Linked DNA regions of Saccharomyces cerevisiae S288C. Changing the gene in region 2 together with the main gene of any one other region gives a genetic interaction. Each region holds a gene or a part of one and is shown on either strand. Other genes may lie near its edges.

The links.
Region 1: of FAA2 (region 2) and GCV3, changing one suppresses a phenotype caused by changing the other (phenotypic suppression), as found in Saccharomyces cerevisiae (one study listed by BioGRID).
Region 3: mutations in FAA2 (region 2) and PXA2 impair growth when combined (synthetic growth defect), as found in Saccharomyces cerevisiae (2 studies listed by BioGRID, with this or other methods).

What each region holds. Positions count from the first base shown.
Region 1 is NC_001133.9:57,450-60,285, forward strand, and holds GCV3 (glycine decarboxylase subunit H), read right to left. Parts: upstream 1,014-2,836; coding exon 501-1,013; downstream 1-500. Other genes in the region: BOL1 (Bol1p), read left to right, coding at 69-401; RNA-processing protein PTA1, read right to left, coding at 1,246-2,836. UniProt on the Saccharomyces cerevisiae protein: The glycine cleavage system (glycine decarboxylase complex) catalyzes the degradation of glycine. The H protein shuttles the methylamine group of glycine from the P protein to the T protein.
Region 2 is NC_001137.3:182,983-188,035, reverse strand, and holds FAA2 (medium-chain fatty acid-CoA ligase FAA2), read right to left. Parts: upstream 3,496-5,053; coding exon 1,261-3,495; downstream 1-1,260. Other genes in the region: BUD25 (Bud25p), read left to right, coding at 3,336-3,358, 3,867-4,305; HEM14 (oxygen-dependent protoporphyrinogen oxidase), read right to left, coding at 3,817-5,053.
Region 3 is NC_001143.9:84,224-94,156, forward strand, and holds PXA2 (ATP-binding cassette long-chain fatty acid transporter PXA2), read right to left. Parts: upstream 4,564-9,933; coding exon 2,002-4,563; downstream 1-2,001. Other genes in the region: HYM1 (Hym1p), read left to right, coding at 481-1,680; FAT3 (Fat3p), read right to left, coding at 5,061-7,313; MTR2 (Mtr2p), read right to left, coding at 8,521-9,075.

The DNA.
Region 1 (2,836 bases), on a different chromosome or scaffold from region 2:
ATGTTCCGGAATGACGAATCAAAAAGAGAATAGCATCGTTAGCAGCAAACGAAAGTGGAAAGAGAATAATGTTCAAGAGAGCAATGAGCACAGATGGTCCCGTGGCACGTACCATCCTGAAGAGACTGGAATGCGGCTTTCCAGATTACAAGAACTTTGCGTTTGGCCTCTACAACGATTCTCACAAGCATAAGGGCCATGCTGGTGTACAGGGAAATGTCTCTGCTGAGACACATTTCCGGATTGAGATGGTCAGTAAAAAGTTCGAAGGCCTGAAACTTCCACAACGCCATCGTATGGTTTATTCCCTCTTGCAAGACGAGATGGCTCAGGCGAACGGTATCCATGCTTTACAATTGTCACTAAAGACCCCACAGGAGTATGAATCCAAAGCGAAATAGAATGCATAAGCATAAGTGTACACGTTGAGTTTATTGTTTTATTTCCCCTACATATATATACATATATATGAAATTACTTTACGTACGTATAAGCTTTGTTCAGTCATCATGAACCAGTGTCTTTTCGTACTGTTCTAAGGACATTAGACCCTCGACCTGTTCCACATTAACGCCCTCACCAAGCTTCATTTTGACTAGCCAGCCGTCACCCATAGGATCTTCGTTCACCACACCTGGATTTTCCTCAAGATTAGTGTTAATTTCCTCTACGGTACCATCGGCAGGCTGGTAGATCTCGGAGGCTGACTTGACGGACTCAATGGACCCTAGCGACTCACCTTGGGCAATCTCAGTGCCCACTTCTGGCAACTCAACATAGGTAGCGTCCCCTAAGGCATCAGTGGCGTATTTTGTAATTCCGACAAAGGCAGTCTTGTCCTGATGCACAGCTATCCACTCATGTTGGGAAGTGTACCTCACGGCTTGAGGTCCTTGGGATGAGTACAAAAATGGTAGTTTATTCTTGTTTAGGGCATTGCCGGAGCTGTTTCTCAAAAACAATTTGCTCACAGTGGGCATGCGGGTGGTCCATAGTCTAGTAGTGCGTAACATTGTCGATGTGGTATGCTTCATGTGGAGATTCCCTTTCCCATTAGATACTTGTTTGTTGGTCTGTATATATAGAAGAAAGAGTTAGCGAAAGTGACTCCGCCGCTGAATGACTCCTTACGGAAGTGTCAAAATTGCGAGGTCCCTATAGCACAGAATGATAGATAAAACATTGATTTGCAAGTTGAAGGAAGACCCTACACATGCGTATATATGATGTATGTAATGGTTGTGATCATTTTAGCCTGTCAAGCAGTGAATCGCACTGCTTGTGTAAGCCTTCATCTTCTTGCTTTAGCTGATGCAGCAGGTCGCGAACAGTGTCCTGCACTGGGGGTCTAAACATAATGAGAAACTTTAGCGTTTGGAAACCAAGGGAACTTCTTGCCGGATCCAGGCAGATAGGCTTCAGTGCCTCAAGATGATCGCTTTGAAGACTGGGCAGTTCGCTCATAAGTCTGATGAAGAATCGTCTGTGTTTGTTTTCAAGGAATGGACCCAGAGACTCGAGAACTCTTAAGGACCATTTTTTGTAGTTAGAGGGATCTTGATGCAGCGAGGTTTGGAAGAACCATTCTTCATTGAGCCATTCAATGATCAGACTGACACGTTGCTCGAAATCCTGGATGAAGAAGCCAAGCAGTTCTTCACGAATCAGGTCACTGGCCTCTTGTGCTTCGATTCCTCTCGTAACCAATCTGATTAAGACGTGTAACCATGACGAGGAGTCGTCATCGTCCAGTAATATGGAGGAGGAAGACGAAGATTTGGCCCGGGTAGTATCCTGGCGACCGGATAATTCAAACAGTTTCTTGGTCAGCTTTGAGAGGTACTTTAGTTTTTCATCCTGCGTCAATGAGTCAGGTTCAAAGGGGGGTGCGATCTCCTTAATGGCAGAAGTTGATTTGTTGGCATCTCCTGAGATTTCTTGGGCGCTTTCCTCTTCTTGAAGCATCTTCTGCATTCGGTCATCGTCTTCGGGCTCCTCTGGTTCCTCCGCTAGTGGTTCTGTTTCCATTTTGATTTTCTTGCTATTAGCCGTTGGGCCATCGTTTCCAACTTCTTCATTGTCGTTGCCGTCGTCATCATCGTCGGATTTCCTCTTTGATGATGACGAGGACGGTACAGAATTGATGTACGTATTCATTAAATCCGTGTACCTCGAAGCAACGATAGACAATCCGGTGATCAGTTTCGTGCTGTCCATTTGCAAGATGGCCTCTGTGGACAGCTTGATAAGTATGTCATTGGGTAGCTGGGTCACATCCTGGTTGGAGTTCGAACTGTTCATCAATGAGTACACAGATGAGTAGGTGTTGCTGATTGGTTTGGGTGAGTTGTTGAAAAAAGTATTGCCCTGGTGTGAAGCCTTGTTGAGGGTGTATTTTTGCAATATCTTCAGTTGATCAAGCATGTTTTCGGTTGAAGAGCCCGTTGCAGGTGCGGACACAGGCGTGGGGGTCTTTGTGGACACCCCTAGAGTAGACAATAACGCGGATAATTGCCTTTTCCATAGTGAGATGTATTTTAGTTTGTCCTGCCTGGACAACGTTTTCTTGCTATTGCCCTTGGAAGGGTCGAAGTTCAAAATTCCCTTGCTCTTGGTCTCTTCGCCAATAACGTGTAAAGTTTGAGAAATCTTGGTCAGCTTGGAGTAGATCGATGACCCTGATCCGGATGAGAGGGATTTTGTAATGATTTGATTTTTTAGCCCAAATTGCACAAAGTTCTTGTACGCCCTTTCAACAAATCTCTTGGATAGTTTGTAGTTCAAGTCAGACTTGCCCTCTAGGGGAAACTTGGCGTCGACGTTGAAACGCAACAGC
Region 2 (5,053 bases):
TCATTCAGGTTTCCGGAACACCTACTCTAGTTGACCTATAGAAGATACAAGGCGTCTCTTTCAGGTAAGAAGATGCCTCTCAGATGTCTTTGACTTTTCTTTATTGTTCTAGGCAAAGTGTTCTTTATACCTGTATGTATGCATCAGCAGATTGACCGGTAACATGAAAGTCTGAAAAAATCCCTGTAATGTTGTTGTCAACACATGAAAAGTTCCGTATCTTCTTTATTGGAAATCGTTAGAAGCCCTGGTTTTGCTCCTAATGGCGATTTAGCATATGCTAATTAAATCTTAAGCAAAGAGTTGTTGAACGAACCCAGACGAAATCTGTTTCTGGTTGCGTGATTTTTCTTTAGGTAGAAACACTGGAATAATTCAAGCGGGTTTCCCAGGATATCTTATTTTCAAATGATCTTTTCTTTTCTGTGGGTGAGACTACATTTTTCAAAGAGAGCATGTCCATAGTGGCAACAAGTGTGAATACGGGAAGTGAAGAGGGATAATTTTTGAATGAGTAGAGCTTCAGTCAGTCGCTCATGCAGTTTTAGCGGAGACAGAAATTCTATCTACATGGATTTCTCTGATCAGCGATATGGGGTACGCCTTCATTATTTTCTTTTAGCTAAGTCTATCATATATAAGCAACTATTCAATGGTCAAATTAACTTCAATCTCTGTCGCCGCATCCCCGATTACTATCACTTTATCTCCGTCAGATGAGAAAGGTTTACCTTTGCTGAGTTAGGTGATTACGCCCCGATATCAGGGCTCACTACATGGAAAACACTGCACCTCCATCTGAAACAGACCTCAGTTGAAGTTGTGGGAGCCGTTTTCAATCATCTTGACCCGTAGTGCACCAAGTCAAGTTACGAGAATGGTAACTGTGACCCATGTACTCCGCTAGATTGACCAGCTATATCTAGCGCTTTATGAAAGTGCAGTATCTACACTGTGGTTCCAACATAGAGAGCATTGCTTTCACTAATTGATCCTCATATATTATAGAAAGCCGCGAAAAAAAGCTTAAGAAGAATATTTAATGGTATAAATAGTTGGAATTATGTATGTCTTTAATCTTATAGTTCTTTAACAAAGTACAATAGTCTTGTGTGCTGTAGTAACGAAAGCAGGTTTATAACTACTGTTAGTCCATTATACACAGTGAGCGTTCACTATGTATACCGTATGGATGTGCATAGGGATATCCTACATCAAAGTTTTTTCTAGTTTGAATGTGTTCCAAATCGTCATAAGTACCTAAAGCTTTTCTGTCTTGACTAGTGAACCTTCGGCGTATAGTTGGTCTAATGTATCTTTGAAGAATTTTGATGCTTTGGCACGCTTTATTTTAAAAGTTGGCGTCACAACATCATCCTCGAGAGTTAAAGGCTCAAGTCCGACTTTGATGTTATGCAATTTTTCGAATCCTTGTAGCCCATCGGTGCATTTATTAATTTTGTTTAAAAATTCCTTCCTTAGCTTTTTATTACGATTTAAGTTTTCTACTAGCACTTCCTTAGTCCACGTTTTCACCTCTGGGTGCTTTGCAGCTAAAATCGGTTGCGCTGCATCAACATCAACACCAACGATGCCAACTAAAAATGTCTTTAAAGGATCTCCAAAGACAAATATTTGCGTGATATAGGGGCATGATGATAAATAAATATTTTCGATTTTCTCTGGAGCAATATATTCACCATGTGCTAGCTTGAAAAAGTTCTTGACTCGATCAATGACGCTGATGCGACCTTTTCCATCGATAAATGCAACATCTCCCGTGGAAAACCAACCATCTTGGTCAACGGCTTTTGAAGTTTCATTCGGATTTTTAAAATATCTTTCAAAAACCTGTGGGCCACGAATTTGCAGTTCACCTTTTAAATCCTTGTCGGCATGGTAACCCATTTCTGGAACAGACTTCAATCTACATTCTGCAGAAATACCTATGGCACCACAAGATCCGACATCTTTTTCAAACGGTTCGCTTAAACAGACACCAGCAAAAGTTTCAGTTAAGCCGTAGCCCTGTCTTATACCAATATCCAAGGCACTTCTTAAAAATAGTAAGGTATCTTTAGATATGGGAGCTGATCCGGTAATTATAAACGAGTTATTGGACAAACCTAAAGAGTCTCTGATTTTATCAATCAATACGCGATGATAAACTAGAAAATTCATAATCGATTTATCTGGACCACCTCTTGCGGTAAATCTGGCCGATTTAGAATCCAATATAGTATTTGCTACGTTCCTCTGGACAGTCGATTTATCCAAAGCGTTTTTTATACCGGCTTCAAACCGTGTTAATATTCTAGGAACCAGGGCAACCGCGTAAGGTTTCAAAATCTTCAAATCCTCTACCAATACAGTTGGGTCTGGTTTATGTAAGAAGCCTATTCCAAACCCGATGGCTAGATCATACGCAATAACCATTCTTTCAAAAATATGAGCCAATGGCAAAAAACACATATCATATAACTGTTGGTTTCTTTTATCTGGCGGTATTCTGAAGGTAGAAAAAGCAAATGCTATCCCAGACGCAATGTTTCTGTGAGACATTTCCACACCTTTAGGTAAACCTGTAGTACCAGAAGTAAACGAAATAGTATACAAGGAATCTGGGGTAGGTGGAATTGCAGGAATTTTGTTAAAGCAACCAACTTGTTCTACCTGCTCCAATGAAAAAAATGTGATTTTTTCATTGAGAGAGTTGCACTTAACGGGTAGCAACGATTCATTTAGCATACGGAGCTCGTCATGAGTTAATTCATCCATACAAACCAAAGTATTAACAAATTTCATATCAGGCACCATCTTCAATACATGATACATATTTGATTTTGCAAAAATCAGAATGGGGGCCTCGGTTAAATTCAATATGTACTCGGAGGTGTTTGGACCTAATGTTTCGTACAAAGCCGTGTTAGTTAGAGAATAGGCCTGACAGGCCAAATCTGTTAGGATCCATTCAGGGTTGTTGTGTGATAAGATAGCAACAACAAAATCATTGGCTTCCAAAGGACGTTTCCTTTTCGTGTTTACCAAAGACAATATACCACTTCCGATATTATGACATCTTTTAGATACCGTGGAGTACGACTCGAAACGGAATGTTTCCTCCCAGGTGCCTGTGGCTTTATCAATTGGCCTTGAACCTAAACAGTCACGTTGAGGCCATCTCCTTGCAGAAAACATGAAGTGATCGTATGCAGTTCTTAAGTTTTTATCCACACAGCTCACTAGATTTTCAGAAGAAAGAGAACTCCTATAAATCGAGCTAAAACCAGCTTCATTATCCGGATTCGAAATGGCAACCGCCTGTTTCTTTAAAAATGTTTTGTACCTGGGATAGCTGGTCAGTGGTAATTGAGAGTATAGCTCTTCAATATATTCATCAGAGCCTTTGGTGTAACCGGCTAATCTTGTCTTCAAACTTTCGAAACGAGGATCCGATTCAATTAAATCGGTAAGTGCATAATCTGGAGCGGCCATATTTCGAAACAAGTTTGTTCTTATCCGTTTTTTGTAACCTGCATTCTTCCACTTCCCTTAGCCATGCGTTTCCGATGCTTTATATAGTTCCAACCCATCATCGCTCAACTCCGCAATTAATATTGAGTTCCCTCGTTTTGACTCCAACCCATCATCGGCGGCTCGGCGTTAAAGACTGACGGTCCGGAGGATGTTCTGAAAAATTTGGTTAATATAAATAAATTGTGTCTTTTGATACTAACTACTTTTTCTTATTAGCTGATAACTGCCTCAATTGTCAAAAGAAGTAGTTTGCGTAAAGCTAACCATATATATACGTACTTATTTGCTTAGCTGTAAGGCGTCGTTAAAGCCGTCTACAATAACGTCAGGGACACCGGGACTTCTAGAAAATCCCATTCCCCCCACAGAAACTGTTTGGCCGTAAGATTCTTGCAACTTCCTTTCAGCTCTTTCTTGCCATGCGTCATAACCTACATGAAATCTTGGCAGACATCTATCGGCGATAGTGAATTCCCACTGACCAGCTTCCAGATCCTTGTTACTGATGCCGAGGTGGTTGTTCAGCGCATCTTTGACTGCATTAATGGTTACCTCCCTGGATGGCACTACAGGAACACCGTGTTCATTGAGCATACAACCTCCTATCATCGCAGTCACTTTTGTATATTTGTTGAGGGCGTTTGGGTTTGTGGAGAGTTTGTCAAAAAGTGGTTTGAAATTCCTTTCGATAACAGAATCGAAAATTACACCAAGCAATTTCCCTGGATTCTTATTGGATTTGGGAACCAAGTATCCAAAGCCTTGTAGATCGGCATCTATTACATCTTTGTTTGGCAAATAATAATTAACTAAAATTATTGTGTTTGATTGTATCTCATCTAATAACTTGGATAATGAATTTTGATCCTTCGGTAGCAATTTAGCGATTTTGGGAGGTGTTATCGTAAGTCTTAAATGGTCAAATGTTTCGTATTGGTCGCCAGATTTCGCTTTCAATCCGATTGTCGTTTCGTTAGCAGGGCGTTTCATTATTTGCGTAACCGGGTTCCCAGTAACTATTTTGACGTTTTTAAATTCGTTCAAAGCATTTCTGACTATCTTGGGAAACGTTTCTAGTCCCCCAGCAAGACCCAACATGGGATATTTCTTTAGCGTGTTGGATAAGTCTAATAACTTTGACCTGTCTTTTCCAAACGCATTTGAGTAGTCGTTAAGGCAGCCAGTTAAAGATTGGTGCAGGTTCTCAGTTTTTTTACTTCTTGACTTTCCGCGCATATTATCAATCATAGCTTGTGTGTTAGATCCGTGCTTTAGTTCATTGTAGTATATTTTCTTAAACGTTCTCTTGGCACTTAATAGGGAAACGTCATCCCCATAGATACCTCTTAGTAAGGCACTGATCATATTGTTTGATATGTAGTTATTCCCAAACCTTCTGTCACAAATGGATTCGACACTTTCGTCTTGGCCAGGATGTGGAGATTTTTTTCTGAACCATTCTCCCATCATACCCGTGATGAGTCCTTTTCCCAACGGATTCAGCAGAAATTTTACT
Region 3 (9,933 bases), on a different chromosome or scaffold from region 2:
GGTCTAAGGCGGCAGACTTAAGATCTGTTGGACGGTTGTCCGCGCGAGTTCGAACCTCGCATCCTTCAGTAATTTTTTTTTTTAATTTATTTTTGTGTTGCAAGCGTTGATCCTTTCCATTATGCAGCCATAAGAGGAGGCTGGATATGAATTATTTATTACCAATATAAGGAGCATGTACCGTTGATTTTGAAGAGCCAATTGCTCCAAATTTTGGATTTTGTGTTCGAAAAAGGGAAGATTGCTCCAAACGCAAATAAGGAGGAAACCCGCTGATTGCACTCTTGGAAAAATAAAAATAAAAAGTGGTCTCAGAATTGTTTCAAAAGTGGCACTGACACAATATTTACAGGCGTTGATAGCTTCTTGTTTTAACAATACGATTTAATCTCGGAGTAGTTAAGCCAAAGAATACGTGTTATCCGTAAGAGGCTTATTGCACGTAATCCCCAGTATAAATTATCCGCAAATCGAAGACAAATGTTTAAGAAATACAAAAATCAAGACTTGGACATGGCATTTTGGTGGAAGAAAAACCCCAAGACCCCTTCCGATTATGCCAGGTTGATCATCGAACAACTAAATAAATTCAGCTCACCCTCGCTGACTCAGGATAACAAACGAAAGGTACAAGAAGAGTGCACAAAATATCTAATTGGCACTAAACATTTTATTGTCGGTGATACGGATCCTCACCCAACTCCGGAAGCCATTGACGAGCTTTATACTGCCATGCATCGTGCCGACGTGTTCTATGAACTGCTACTTCATTTTGTGGATTTGGAATTCGAAGCAAGGAGAGAATGCATGCTTATATTCTCTATATGCCTTGGATACTCTAAGGATAATAAATTCGTCACAGTAGATTATTTAGTCTCGCAACCAAAGACCATATCTTTAATGTTGAGGACTGCGGAAGTTGCTCTACAACAAAAGGGTTGCCAAGATATCTTTTTAACGGTAGGGAATATGATTATTGAATGTATCAAATACGAACAACTTTGTAGGATTATATTAAAGGACCCTCAACTATGGAAATTCTTTGAGTTTGCGAAACTGGGTAATTTCGAAATCAGTACGGAATCTTTACAAATATTAAGTGCCGCATTTACTGCACATCCTAAATTAGTGTCTAAGGAATTCTTCAGTAATGAGATTAATATCATAAGATTCATTAAATGTATTAACAAGTTAATGGCTCATGGAAGCTACGTAACGAAAAGGCAGAGCACTAAACTGTTGGCCTCATTAATTGTGATAAGATCTAACAACGCGTTGATGAATATATATATCAACTCCCCAGAAAACTTAAAGCTCATAATGACTTTAATGACTGACAAATCTAAAAACTTACAACTTGAAGCTTTCAACGTATTCAAGGTGATGGTAGCAAACCCAAGGAAGTCAAAACCTGTTTTTGACATTCTTGTTAAAAACAGAGATAAACTATTGACGTATTTTAAAACTTTCGGTTTAGATTCTCAGGATTCTACTTTTCTTGATGAAAGAGAATTCATCGTTCAAGAAATTGATTCCTTGCCGCGTATAATTTCGTCCACAACAGAAGTTTCTAATAATAATGCATCCTCAAGTAACGTCGCCAGTATAACTTCTCCATCATCAGTAATGAACAATCAATCATCCATCTTAACACATTCAACTTCACCTGATTCAAGATAACTATAAAACTTGGTTCACTTTATAAAAAATGGAAAGTTCTCAGGCAGTGGGTCGTGACATGAATATTCAAAAGTAAAATTATATATAGGAAAGTGTTTATTTGCATAAAAAGGGAAAAATAGTTCAGACTTTTGTATTTTTACGTATTTATACAAAAAAAGGTTGGTACCGGAGGCTGAGGAAGCCAGTACAGTTGGATCCGGTACATGGAATTGAGCAATCAACCGTAAATATGAGCGCTTTCTCAAGATATTAAATTATTATAAAACAATTTATTTATCCAATTTATACATGATTTGGATCCTCCTTTGGCTATGTATGTTACCTCTCCTTTCCTTCTTCCTTTTTTGTTTTAACTTTTTTGTTCAAGCTTTTATTGTTTCTTAGTAAATTTGATGATGCTGAACTAGATGGTTGGGAAAATAGTGGTAATCTCTTACTAGTCTCCTGCCCTGTAGGTGATGTGATTCGCTGCCCTTTATTTGCATTAAACAATGCATTAGATTTGGACGTTTTTGGATCTTCGATCTTTTCAAAAAGATTCAGGTTAGTTTCTGATTTACGAATGATGTTGGATTCTTTAGCAATTGTCAGATCTTTCAACTTCCGCTCCCAAAGTGGCACCTGTTGATCCAAGATGGCATTTAGTTCAAGAAGTTTTTCTTCATTACATAACCTTTCCTTCGGGTTAAACGGTCCAAATTGGTATCCGCCTTTACCATCAAATTTTAACAGATAGTTATGAAAATGCCATAAACTTGTCCTGTGGCAAACTGATATTAACGAGATACCAAAATTTTGCGCATTTTCGTACATCCTTTGTTCCATTTCTGGGGCTACTGCAGATGTACATTCGTCGAGCACAGCAAACTTGGGTTTATGATAGTACATCCTTGCCATAGCTAACCTTTGTTGGACACCAATTGTTAATTCTTCGGACCAATTTCTTACTATACTGAATGCATCACGAACTTTAATGGCGCATGGTGACTGATTGTCTTCCGTCGACAACTGCTGTGAATCATTTTTGGAAGTCCTTTGCGCCAGCAGAAGTGACATATTTTCAGTGACTAAATCCTCCAAATCTAATAATTGCAGAATTTTTATTAAATCTGCATCGCCTAGATCATAATCATTGTGATATCTTTCTTTGAATTGTTCAATACTGTCTGGATAAATAATCTGTTCCCTGAATGTCGACCTATTGCCCATATACGGCCTTTGGGGTAAATAAAATATTGCGCAATCTCTATCCACAGTTCTACGCGGCATTATTAACTTGGATTGATGATTTTTATTGGGAGTCGCCCTTATCGGCCAAAGCCCGCCTAGAATACGAAATAATGAAGATTTACCGCAACCGTTGGGCCCAATAATTAGTAGATGATTTCCATGCTTCAGATCAAAACTTAGCTCCGGTACTAGAACTTGATTGGCAGGTGTTATTAAAGGAATATTTTCAAACTTTATCCTTGAATCATCATATTCCACTATACACCTTTCATCTCTTGGTTCTTTTTCGTCATCACCTTTATTAGCATCCAACAAATCATTGAACTTGTTCAATCTCAATCTGATACCGCGTAATTGTTGTATATTTCTCTTCAGTTCCACAAATCTTCCGATAGAGCTAGATGCAGTGACTAATAATCTTCTATTTGTGATGAAATCAGCCGTCATATCATTCCCGGGTTCCTTAAGCTGTAAGGTGTCTTCACTAGGTTTGTTTTTGAAAAATATTGGAATCGAGCATAGTACCAAGCCAGCTGCGCCCCAAGTATATTTAATGACAAATGCAGTAGCAACATCATAAATAGCTCTTGCCTTTATTTCTCTGTTTAAAAATAGCACCAAACGGTAAAATGAATAATCAACGTTTTCTAGTTCCCTCTTTTGCCCTCTTAGCAGTGCAATTTCTTCATTGCTTGAATGTAGATTCGAGTGTAAAGATCTGAACCAACTTTCCAAAGATGCGCTTGCCATAGTTAACCTAGTGAAATTCGGTTGAATCAATTTTAGTAATGAATTGGAGGCGTAGACAATTAAGCCCAGTGCCAAAGTTCCTTCACCCATAACACTAGTGTTTGAGGTTAATAATTTGAATGAACAGAGGATCAAATCCAGCATTGGCTTTAATAGCTGATTCAGTAATAATGACGAGTTCATTGAAAATGTGTAAATATCTTTTGTCAAATTATCCTGAATTTCTGAAACAGATTCAGCAGAAGCTACGGAATAGAAAGTATGGTGATTAGATAGATACTTTGAGAGTAGAAAGTCTGAAACTTTCCTATTAATAGTGACAGCACAAAGTTTTGTCGTGTAACTGATCAGTGAATTAATAAAACTGGCGGGAATTCCAAGGATCATCCATTTCCCCAACAATATCTTTGTGAAGTTTGCGTATTGAGCTCTTACTAGTGTGGACACTAATTGACCATCTAAAGTAGCCACACGAAGAGACAGCAATGTTCTGATGTTCAGAAGAATAGCCTGTGTAATAAATAAAATGAGGCACTTCTTATCATGAAGCAAAAGTTTGAACAAAAAATCTACCTTTCCTTTTCGCTCTCCCCCCTTATGATTAGTCTTGCTTTCTTTATCAATTATTATTGCACCATCTTCTGAATCTGTGCTATGTTTGGAGACTATCGTTAACTCTTCTTTGCTACTTTCATCTTCCTCTCTATCTACTGCGGTTTCTTTTCCCTCTTCAATTTTCTTATTTTCTAAAACCGTTGACTCAGAATCCTTCTTATCAGTTTTGTTGTTACTAGAACTGGAATTTGAATTGTAAAGCGTGGCTAGCAACAATATTATGTATGAAGAACGCAGTAAATTTACTCTATGCTTCTGATAAAATGCAGAAGCTGTTGAGATCATTATAAAATCTTTCTTCGGTAACTTTTAATTGTATTATTATCCCTTTTGAGTCTTTTCCATATTCAAGACGAACAAAATACAGATAACAATGTTGAAGACGTTTGTTTTGTACCGGATTGAGGACAAGATGATACTTAAATATAATATTATCTTTGATCGAGCAAAGCCATCAATATCATCATCTAACATTCACTTTACTCCACATTTCATTGCCGCCCTTAATCTTTCGGAGGGTGGTAAAAACTTTACGGTGATAGTTGTAATTAACGCCGAAGGAATATACATCAAAGACGAAAGAACATTAATTGCATATATTCCAAAAATATGAATAATTACCAAATTATTATTAATTTTTGTTTTGAAATTTAAATAAAGCTATTAAATAAGGATGATGGTGTGGTATGTACTATAATTCAATATAAGAGATTAAGATAACGCTGTAAATGGTTTGGTACAATTGAAAAAAAGTGATAGAGCATTTACGAAAAAGAAAAAAATTATGCTACCAAATGTGCATTATTGTTAACAGGTCCATTTGAATCTTTTGGTGTCACGTCGGGGTGACTTAGCTCTGTTCTATTACTCGTACTACCTGTGACATCTGTATTATTGGCAGAACTACTGTTGTCGATAGCGGTTATTTCATTACGATTCACCTGTTTTTCGAAATCAGCATCATCATCATCACCCAAGTTATGGTCGCCGAAACGGTCTGCAGAAATGGCAGAACCATCCCCATACGTGTAAATTTCGCCTTTCCTATTCGTCACAGATCCGGACATGTAACGACCACTCCGTCTGTTCCTCCACCACGTATAAATTATCAATCCTGTGGCGATAAAAGACAACGCAAATGCTGTCCATATCAGCCCTGTATAGGCGGGACCGGCTTTAAACACAACACCATATTTATCATCTGCCGTACCGCTCTTTATAATGGCAATCATAACGGATATGATAATGGCTGCCAATACAGTGGCTACACCAACGCAAACGTGTAGAGCTAGGGCAATGAGCCATAATGGTTGTTTGAACATATATCTGTTAAAGTACAGTAATATAATAAAAATCATGGTAAAGAAGGAAAAGATGATCGCTAAGAGGTTCAAAGCCAAAACAGACCTCACTGCTGGCACATATTGGTGCTCTCTGTGTAAAAGTTTCCCTTCTAGGTAAAGATCGTTGGCGCTAATATTCAGGGCGTTCAGATATGGTTGGAAGTCTGATGTGACTAATGCGTCATAAATAATCGATCTAAAATCCAAGTTTTGTACAGCATGTGGGGAGTTACAATCTAGGATCTTGTTTTCCAGGTTAGCATGGCATAGCGTGAAAATGGATAAGCGATAGTAAATCGGAATTTTCAGATACTCTAGTATATTCGGCGTCATGGCGTTCAATTCTTCTGCGGAAATCGGTTGGACGGATTTGGCATCCGCTAATATATCTAAAATGGGCAAGAAGGTCTGAGGGTTTTCTTGAGCCCAGGAAGTCAGCGTCACTAAAGATGAAAATGTTGTTTTAGGATCAGTGGATGCCCCTAAAAGACTGAAGAGATATGGAATGTACTGTACGGAGCTTGAATTACCGGATAGGCCCGATTGTAATTCGGACAAGATGGACAAAGTTTCGTTGGTGTTACTCGAGGAGCTTATCACATCATCTAATCCAATTAGCTGTTGAGTAGATTGAGTTGTATTTGTCACCGCAGCTAGAGATTGGACCGAAGTGACAACCATTGTCGAGTTGTCCGAATTTTCCATCAATTGGGTTAAGGCAGCAAACGCCTTTTTTGCAGATGATGACTGAGTGAGGTTTTGTTCCAGCAAATCAGATAGAGTGCTCAATGTCTGATTTGTAGAGGTGGTCTGGTTTAGCAGCAATTCCACTGCATCAAATGCGGGGGCGCTTGCCTGCGGCACTAGTGGTTGCAAAGTACTAAACGTGTTATTTAGGGAACCTCCGTTTGAAATTGTGTTTTGTAACTGAGTTAATAGTGTTTGGGCTAAAGAAGATGAAATAGTAGTGTTCATCAAGGTCGCCAGAGCCGTCATTGTAGCTGTTTGGTTCGTGGAGAAAGCGAATAGCCTGAATACCGGTAACAATTGCGCCTTTTCTGACATTGTCAGATTATTCAGAGTTAGCAATGCATCTGTGGAATTCTGTGGGTTATCGGAGTCTTTTAATAAGTCCAGAACCAAAGTAGTTGAGTCACTGGAAGAGTTAGAGCTTGCGGAAGACAGCGAAGCAGAAACTAACCTTGAGAGGCCATCTAGTGTTTCAGTTGCGTTGTCTGAATACTTCAGCAGCCCATTAATCTCTGTCAACTGCCTCGTGCTAGAAGCAGGATTGCCGCTGATCGCTAAGGGAGCCAATTCGGTCAATGATTCGATGGTTACTGTGGTGTTGTCAGCATTAGACAAAAGCGTCAATAGCGGCGTCAGCGCGGGAGTATCAGCAATATTTTTCATGGCGCCAAAAATATCATCCAAGGAGCTGTTCGGAGCCGTCAAAGCGGACCCTAATATTGTCAAAATAGGGCCTATCTGCGGGATCACCTTGCTTACATTGATGTGTTTGATATCGGCTTCACCGATGTATATATTCGTTAAGGGTTTGTAGTTGGCGGTGGAGCCAGCAGTGGCTACAATAACCAATATCAGTGTGGTGAACATGAATAAAAGGCACACAGACAATATCGTCCAAATAATTCCCTTCGACAGGGGGGTACGGTGCTTTTCGATCCTCATGTTTTTGTTGTTTTCTTTGCTTTCCTAACTCTTCGTATGAGGATTTTCGATGGAGCAGGATGAGGAGAAATAGTACCACATGTATATATCCATTACAAAAAGGTTTATATACAATTACAATAGACCCTTGTTGGGGTTTCTGAAAAAAGAAGTAGTCGATGCCATCGGCAATAATACGGAATTACGAGAAACACAATCCCGATCCTTTTTTGGGTAATTACTTCACCGATTCTACCGATTTATCATGCCAAAAAAAATTCACCGTGGGTTCTAGAAGTGCCCTTTGAGGATTGTAGCCACTCTAACCCACACGGCCTCCTTACTAGCTGACTAAGGTGACAAAACCGCAAGGACTGGAAAGTCGCCACTCATCTGAAAATTCTCAAGTTTTTCACTACTGAGTTTATGCTTTCGAATTTTTTTGTTCGGTAATAGCACGGCGGTTCGATTCAATTCCGCCGCTCCGAGCGATGCTCCGCAAAACTCAGTAATAAGCTTTCTGATGGTTCACCCCTTTTTTAGCACGCGGGGTGTAACTCAACAGAAAAATGTGCCATAGAACAAGACTAGGCAAAAGCCAAGGAGCGTTTGCCATGAACTTCCACAAGTAAAGCTCGTTGACCAGTTGATCAGTTGAGGGGGGTACACACGACTAGCGCTTTCAGATATTAAAAAGTTTAGATGTAGGTTTTAGCGGTAACAGTTATATAAATCGTGTTTCTTCTCTTGATGAAACAAAAAAATGCTAGAAAAACTTTGTCGTTTCTTACTTTTGGTGCGCTTTGCAGTTTTCGTGGCTAGACTTAGAATCATTTCTCCTCAGATTTCTTGATTAAAGTTTGGTGCGAAGCCCTACTCTAACATTGGTGTTCTTCTTTTCATTCACGCAAGTTAAGTCCAGGAAGGTGAGCAAATGCTCATCCTTCTGTTCATGCGTGACGGCTGAATTATCCTTATCTGGCGTACCCGTGCAGCCGTTTCCGTGCCTCGGTTCCTCCGAGATATCCTTAGGGACCGCCAGGGACCATGATTGCGTCAACTGTTGTCACCGCTCCAGAGGATCCTCTGTAACCTTTTCAACCATAAAAATAGAAAGGGCACAGGGTTGGGGTATTTGAATTTTTTTTTTGGGTTTTTTCGTATTACTTATTACTTACCTTCTTTTCTATATAATTTTGTTTTTCCCTGGTAGAGCGGAATCTTCCCACTAAATTTTTAGCAGAGAATCCTCGGGTTTGTAAACCATGTTATAGTTAAACCCCGATATTACACCATTAAAATCATTTCTAAATATGCGGTCGTCGATGATCAGCTGCAGGGAAATGCCAAAATATGGACCCCATAGAGGTCTTGGCTTGTTCATATCGTTGGGTCGATTTCTGTTCCCAGTGTTATTTGGTTGAATGGGAACAGTCGCGTCTTGCCCCATCTTGTCTCTGCCGCTTTCGTCGAATCTGACTTTGCAATTGACGTTGCATATCAACGTGCCGGATCCCGGAATAGCGTGATAGTCTACTCCTGTTAGGGCATGTTGTGTTTGTACGACCTGGTTTTGCCACATTTGCAGAAAAACTGTTGCTTGCGCGAAGGGGGTAGCATTAAATATTATTCTGCAGTTGTTTGGATTAAAAAGCTGTACGAATTGGGCCAATTTGTTGGAGTCCGGATCATCCAAATGCGCTAATATCTTCTTCGTAAATGTGGCCGTTATTTGTGCTTGATTTGCGTCATTCATTACCATAGTATTACTATTGGTGTTCATATTTCTGTTATTACTGTTATTAGTTTGGCGTTTTGCCTGACGATCAGCCTGGTGGGGCCAAGTATATACTATAAAAACAGGTTAGTTACTTGCTCTATGCGTTTGCGCATCCTCTTTTTACTTTTTTTTTTTCAGTAAAGCCTAAGCATAAATCGTTTTATACGTACGACACGTTCAACTTTTCTTGGTTAGTAGTGGCAATCTCTGCAATACATACAGGGAGTCATGGTCTATCATCTTGTCCAATCAAAGAAGCATCGGTTCAGATCGAGCAAACTGTAGGGAGAAAGGAAAGTAGAAATGCAGAGTGTGCTATATGTCCAATCTCGGTTTTGTAGTTTGGATGTCATTAGAGATCTACCACCCAACCGGCTGCTTTCATGTGGAACAGAAAAGAAATCGGGGCGCTTCCTCTTCTGTATTCCTTTAATTAACGTTTTTATTCAGCCATCTAACCATCATACCCCCATACGGTAACAAAACCTCTTCTAAGAAAAGAAGTCTCTGCTCCTCCGCCATCTTATTTTTATTCGCTGCGCGCGTTTATTGTCGCATCGCTAGCCAGCAAAAAGTTGGTTGCCTTTTTTTACCTAAAAAAGACACATCTAACTGATTAGTTTTCCGTTTTAGGATATTGACGCCAAGCGTGCGTCTGATTTCTACGATATGTCTCTAATTTTGGAAGGGCCATTTTATTTTTGAGGATTGGGCTGATCATTTTCCTTACGTGGATTGAGCCAGCAATACAGATCATTATTAAACTGTTTTGTACATGATGTTAGTATATAATCGTAAAGCTTTTCTAATATGTATACCTTATACATGGAACTCCACAGAACTTGCAAACATACCAAAAAT